Linked DNA regions of Canis lupus familiaris. The protein of the gene in region 2 purifies or fractionates together with the protein of the main gene of each other region. This does not show direct contact. Links are inferred from orthologs where the notes say so. Each region holds a gene or a part of one and is shown on either strand. Other genes may lie near its edges.

Region 1 (3,520 bases), on a different chromosome or scaffold from region 2:
GCATGGAGCCTGCTTCTCCCTCTGCCTGTGTCTCTGCCTCTCTCTCTCTCTCTGTGACTATCATGAATAAATAAATAAAATCTTTAAAAAAAAAAAAAAAAAGAAATGACAGTATTTAGATATAATTTGCCTCCTCTTCCCCCCAAAAGCCTTACTTAGTTGTGTCTTTAGGTAGAGGATCTGGCTTGCTCCGTGAAACTTTCCAAAGTTTGAAAGTATAACATTTAAATGCATTTATTCTTTGTCAACACAGCAGTTATGGAAATTTGTCATATAGACAGAGTCCCACAAGCAGGTAAAAAAATTTATTCAGTTTCAGAGGGAGGAGAACCTTCCAAATATTAAAGACTTAAAATCTATTAATCACTTGATTTTTAGTTTATTTTTTGAGTATGAAAGGAATGCATATCGTAAAAACAAATCCTGAAATACAAGAATCCTTTTATTTACAGAGAGCCAGTACTTATATTCTGGCATTTAGTCTTACAGATGTTTTGTGACTACACAAAATGTCAAAATAGTTACGTGGTTCAAATGAAAATATTTAAATATTTTGTAAAAAAAAAGGACATCCTCTAAAAATGGAATCTTAGGTGTAATGCATTGTGGAGGTCTTTCTGCATTAGTTAACAGAAGGTAGATATGTATCATTTCTCTTGGCTACATTGCTGTTGGTTATGTGATATGAATGTACTATTATTTAGCCAGTCACTTCTTTATGAACCACAAGGTAGTTTCTAATTTTATACTCTTATAAACAGTATTACAGTGAACTTCCTATAAATAAAACTTCGTATGTTCACACTTACTTGTTTTAGAAGTAATTTCTGGGAATGTAATTATGATGTTAAAAAATAATTTTTTTTTCCGGAGCTTTATTTAAGGAATTTAGAAATAGGGGATTTAAAAAGATTGTATAGAAGATGGGTATTTGAAAAAATTTAATTGTAGCAAAGCCTCCTGACAAAAAGATGCAAAATAAGAGACCTTAGTTATAACAGTGGTTTTTCTGTGAGACAAGAGGGTTTGGTAAATAATGTTCAAAACTTCTGACTGGGCCAAGCATTCTGTTTGTGGCAAAGATTTCTCTTTAACTGTTAAATATGATAAAGTCAATATGTAACCAATTTTAGTATTGTCTTTACAGTGTATGCTGATGGTAGCATATGTTTAGATATCCTTCAGAATCGATGGAGTCCAACATATGATGTATCTTCTATCTTAACATCAATTCAGGTAAGTGTATGTTAGGTTGCATCATGAATTTTCAAAATTCTGTGGGATAGTCAGCTTCTTTAGGAGTCAGCTTCTTTAGGAGCAGTCTAAAGACCACATGAGCAAACTTTGCTTCCTAGCACCCATGTAACCAATATCACAGTTTAGATAATCCCATGATTTTCAGACAGCTGGTCTGCTTTTCTGTCTCTCTTTCTCTCTCTTTTTTTTTTTTTTAGGTTTTTATTTTATTTATTCATGAGAAATAGAGAGAGGCAGAGGGAGAAGCAGGCTCCATACAGGGAGCCCGATGCGGGACTCGATCCTGGAACCCCAGGATCATGCCCCGAGCCAAAGGTGGATTGCTCAACCACTGAGCCACCCAGACATCCCTGGCCTGCCTTTCTCTTAGTGATCACATTGGATCAAACCTACAGTCATTTTCCTGGTCCTTGTGTAAATCAAGTGTTCTCACAGGTCAAGTATTATTTATGACCATCAAGGATAGCTAGAGGATGTGGAGAAGGAAAACTCTTCTTGGAAATAAAGATGATTGCTTAGAAAAACCATAGTGACCTCAGGAAACTGCCAAGTGCAGAGAAGCATTAAGTATGTTACCCCATCCAAGAAATCCTTTTTTAAAAACAGATAGTGTAACCATTTGCCAAACCAGTCTGGCAGATTATTTCAGAGTTGACCCTGAATGACAGTTTTAGAAGTAAAGTGAGGGATGTTTTAGTTTATGTGGGTGTAAAAGGAGCAGAAGTCAAATTTTGGTTTGTGATATTTTTAAAACTTTTTCTGTTGTATTTCTGCTTTAATTCAAGTCATTGTATAAACATTTTGAACTTCCCTATTTCATTCTCTTGCTGCTAGGTGTATATATTTTCTATATTAAAGGAAACAAGATTCCCTACCCAGCTTACTATCAGACATTTGCAAAGTAAACCATAAAAATAAAGTTTAACTTTGGAAAATGTTAGTTGCTGTGCTATTTCCAAGTATTGTATATTATTATACAATAATTAATATTATACAACTAACTAATGTTAGTTGCTGTGCTATTTCCAGATATTGTATATTAACCAAATCAAGCTGTTTATTTCCTGGCTAATGCTTAAGTATGTTAAAGAAGAATATTCTGGGGCATCCTGGGTGGCTCAGCGGTTTAGCACCACCTTCTGCCCAGGGTGTGATTCTGGATACTCGGGATTGAGTCGCACGTCGGGCTCTCTTCATGCAGCCTGCTTCTCCCTCTGCCCCTCTCTCTCTCCCTCTCTCTCTCTCTCTCTCTCTCTTTCTGTGTCTCTCATGAATAAATAAATCTTAAATATATATATATATATTCTTTTCCAATTTCCTTGAAATTAGAGGTCTGCAGTTGAGTACTGTGTTTTGGAAGCGTCAGTTCTTTAGCAGCAGGAAATTATTAAATTGATCAAGCCATTTCTGAAAGTATTTAAGACCTAAAAATACAGAAGATATACTAATATCTGCCATTTCTTTCCTGAGTAATTTGTTCTTTTATACAACCTCTATGCTCCATATCTGACCCATGTTAATGTAAAGAGCAATTCAACTAATCCTTTTTTCCCTTTTCTCTTTCCTTTCAGTCTCTGCTGGATGAACCGAATCCAAACAGTCCAGCCAATAGCCAGGCAGCACAGCTTTATCAGGAAAACAAACGAGAATATGAGAAAAGAGTTTCGGCCATTGTTGAACAAAGCTGGAATGATTCATAATAGACAACTGGTCTGTTAATTTTTTTCATCATTGTTGTGTATAATTTACCTCTCAGTAGAAAGGCTAACAAATTTTAAGTGCCACAGGTTTTAAGGATTCTGCAGAAAAAAAAAGTCCTTCAGTTTAGAACCTACAAAAGCTTGTGTATCTTGATTAATGTACTTTTTATTGCATGGTGTGAACTAAGTTATTGCTTACATAAATTTGTAATATATCCTGTTTGTATTTTTTTCCAAGTGTATAATGTTGGTGTGGAGTTTTCATGACAGAATAATACACATTTTGTAAATCTGTACTTTTTTCAAATATTGAATGCCTTATTTTTGAATTCTTTAGATTTTTAAATTGGAGAAAAGCACTTAAAGTTTTTTATATATGAATATTACATGTAAAGCTGTTAAAATACATAACTTCAGTGCAAGAGACTTTGTCACTTATTTCCTTATCTGTTTAGGAGGGGTTAATAAGTCTCTAGCTCTCCATCAATTGATAGTAGTTTCATTTCCAATTTCAAAAGAACAGATTTATATTTTATCAAGAAATTCTTCAAATTTGATTCTAA
Region 2 (3,520 bases):
GATTATCATTTTATATATAAAGTAATGTGATTTTTTTTAAGAAGGCCAGAAGACTTTTCTTTTAGCTTTTTATTGTTAAAAATTTTAAACACAGGCAAATGTTGGTACAGGAAACATCCATATACCTACCACCTAGACTTAGTAGTTAGTATTTTGCTATATTTTCTTTAATATTTGCACACTTTTTTAAAGCATTTGTTTCAGCCATCATATTTCATCTCTAAGAAAAGCCTTTCATATTTCATCTCTAAAGAAAAGCCTTTCCTCTCTTGATTTTCAGAATAAGCATTTGGTCTAATAGTTGCCTTCAGGGGTTACAACCATGAGGCTTCTTTGTTCACTTAGGATTGTTGTGCTTTGCTTTTTAATATTACTCTTGGGTTTTCATTTACTCCATTTTTTATAGTCACATATGATCAAGGTTCCTTTAAAAAAAAAAAAAAAGATTCTTTTTGATGCTCAAATTGCCAGTTTTGGTCAGTGGGAATCTGTTCAGTTGGCTTCCCTGCCCTTTTGACCCTAGCCCGTTAGTATTTGAGCACACCTTACTTTCTGGCACAAAAGATGCCCCAGACTCATCTTATACTTTCCCTGCCCCAGACCTGCAATCCACCATTTGCTCAGATATTTAAATGAATTTATACTAGGAGTTTCAGCAGGTGGTGTAATGGATAGTAATACCCATTATAGGTATTAAACTATAATTTCATCCACGCATCTCTCTATAACATCAGATTCTCTTTGTCTCTCTCTTTCTTTCAGCAATCATTTTCTCTAGAACTTTAGATCTGAACTTTAGATCTGAAAGAATATTAAAGATCACATAGTTCAATCTCTTGCCCTCTTAGGAATATTTTGCCCAAATGGCAGCACTTAAACCAAGAAAGTCAATAACTGGACATTTTTTACTATAAAACTAAATTAGCAAAAAAAAAAAAAAACTAAATTAGCTAACATTTAGATTAAGTGTACTCTTGATGTGGACTTATATGTCTTATATGTCTTTTCCTCAAATAAAGAAATAACTTACAGAAGAAGAAATGCATTTTATTTTAAATCTAGGTTTTATTAAAGGGCCAAAACAAGGGGCACCTGGGTGGCTCAGTTGATTAAGCATCTGCCTTCAGCTCAGATCACGATCCCAGGGTCCTGAGATCTAGCCCCATGTGGAGCTCTCTGCTCAGCTGGGAGTCTGCTTCTCCCCATCCCTCTGCCTGCTGCTCCCCCTGCTTGTGTTTGCTCTCTCTGTCAAATAAATTAATTAAAACCTTAAAAAAAAACAAAAACAGGCCAGGGTAGCCCGGGTGGCGCAGCCATTTAGTGCCGCCTGCAGCCCAGGGTGTGATCCTGGAGACCCCGGATCGAGTCCCACGTCAAGCTCCCTGCATAGAGCCTGCTTCTCCCTCTGCCTGTGTCTCTGCCTCTCTCTCTCTGCCTCTCATAAATAAATAAATAAAATCTTTAAAAAAAAAAAAAGGGCCAAAATAAGTTGATGTATTTTTACACACACATCCTTGTAATCTAGTTCATTTCTTACACTTTTTAAAATCTCAGACCTTTTAGCTGGGTTTTTATTTAATTGCTAAAGGCTATGTTAAAATAATCACTTGGTGTAAGATGTCCATTTTGAATGATTAAAGCATTCTAGTTGTTAACTTGTTTTTAAGTACAGATACATCACATTCTTAAGAAGTATTGAAAATCTCTAATAAGTAGAGCTGTAAATAAATGATGGGCAGATGATGTTATAAGCAACCTTATCTTCTTGTGCATAGTAATAAACACTGTGAAATATTAGTTGTTATTGTGCCTTTTTTTTTTTTTTCTGCCTTAGAACCTGGTGAAGCACCAAACAACTCCCCTAGCATATTAGCTATGCTGGAAACACTACAGAATGCTCCCTACCTAGATGTCCACAAAGATATGATTAGATGGATATTAAAGGTACAATTTCTGGCATCACTTTGCTTTTCATGAGAAACATTCAGTGTTTGTTATCTTTAAATTTTGATAATATTTCATAGCTTCCAAATAACTGACACTTTTTGTCATAGACTTTTAATGCTATTAAGAAGATAAGAGAGAGTTCATCCACCAGTCCTGTGGCAGAGACTGAAGGAACCATAATGGAAGAGGTATAAAAAGCAAATGAGGTCCTACTGAAGGATTGTAGCAAGTTCACTATAAACAACTAAACTTATCTGTAATAAGTTGGTAGTTGATGTTATTCACAAAAAATGTGAATTCCAAACAATGTGCCACTTTTTATTTGTTGTAGCAATTTTTTTTTCTGTGTCTATCCTTTTTTTTAAAACAGGCTAAAAAAATCTTTTCTCTTGTTTAGATAAGTAAGATTATTAAATAGTTTTTAAGTAGTAGTTACAATCAAGACAGTTCTGCTTTGGGGCAAAAATGTTAATTTGGTATCTAATGGTCTAATTAAATGAAGCATACTTTCAGAGTTCAAGAGACAAAGACAAAGCTGAGAGGAAGAGAAAAGCTGAGATTGCCAGACTGCGCAGAGAAAAGATCATGGCCCAGATGTCTGAGATGCAGCGGCACTTTATTGATGAGAACAAAGAACTCTTTCAGCAGACATTAGAACTAGATGCCTCTACTTCTGCTGTTCTTGATAATAGGTAAAAAAATAATTAACATTTTTTTATCTCTTGACCATTGGTTCTCAAATGGGAAAGATGTTGGGTTTTATTCCTTATAAGTCATTTTTAATCTGAAAGTAATTTAGAAGGATTGGTAGGCGAATAGGAATTACCCATAGAATTTTAGTTTTTAGTATACATTTATGAGTATATCTCCAACTATAGATAAGATACCATGTGTATGCTCAAAATGATGTGTCACACAGAACACCCTTGACATTCAAAGAATGAGTGCACAGGGGCGCCTGGGTGGCTCAGTTCGTTGAGCATCCAACTCTTTTTTTTTTTTTTTAAGATTTTATTTATTTATTCATGAGAGACACAGAGAGAGAGGGGCAGAGACACAGGCAGAGGGAGAAGCAGGCTCCACGCAGAGAGCCCGACACAGGACTTGATCCTGGGTCTCCAGGATCAGGCCCTGGGCTGAAGGCGGCACTAAACTGCTGAGCCACCCGGGCTGCCCAGAGCATCCAACTCTTGATTTTGGCTCAGGTTATGATCCCAGGGTCGTGAGATCGAGCCCTGCGTCAGGAATCTCCTTGAGATTCTCTCCCTCTGTACCTCGCACGCTCTCTTTCTCTCTCAAATAAATAAATCTTAAGAAAAAAAAGAATGAGTGTACTAGGCTCAGTTAACTGAGTGTCTGGCTTCTGTGTTGCATATTGGATTGCTGTGAGGGTTATAGGAGATGGTTTCATATATATGAGTGACTTCTACCAGTTCAAATCATCAAAACCACACATGTTTAATATGTACATACCTAAAGTCTACTGCTTTATGATTAAATGGAAACTTCTTAGGCTCATTCATGAAACTTGTATTCTTTTATTGCAGCCCTATGGTTTCAAATATGGCACTTA

Evidence for each region. The genes of interacting proteins can lie anywhere in the genome.
Region 1: the proteins of UBR2 (region 2) and UBE2B purify together in Homo sapiens (affinity purification with western blotting; 3 studies listed by BioGRID, with this or other methods). This does not show direct contact. The link is inferred for Canis lupus familiaris from reciprocal best matches to the Homo sapiens genes UBR2 and UBE2B.

The regions. Positions count from the first base shown.
Region 1 is NC_049232.1:22,545,971-22,549,490, forward strand, and holds part of UBE2B (ubiquitin-conjugating enzyme E2 B), read left to right. Parts: intron 1-1,147; coding exon 1,148-1,236; intron 1,237-2,828; coding exon 2,829-2,957; 3' UTR 2,958-3,520. UniProt on the Homo sapiens protein: E2 ubiquitin-conjugating enzyme that accepts ubiquitin from the ubiquitin-activating enzyme E1 and transfers it to a E3 ubiquitin-protein ligase. In vitro catalyzes 'Lys-11'-, as well as 'Lys-48'- and 'Lys-63'-linked polyubiquitination.
Region 2 is NC_049233.1:11,452,360-11,455,879, forward strand, and holds part of UBR2 (E3 ubiquitin-protein ligase UBR2), read left to right. Parts: intron 1-1,834; coding exon 1,835-1,944; intron 1,945-2,054; coding exon 2,055-2,135; intron 2,136-2,460; coding exon 2,461-2,639; intron 2,640-3,494; coding exon 3,495-3,520. UniProt on the Homo sapiens protein: E3 ubiquitin-protein ligase which is a component of the N-end rule pathway.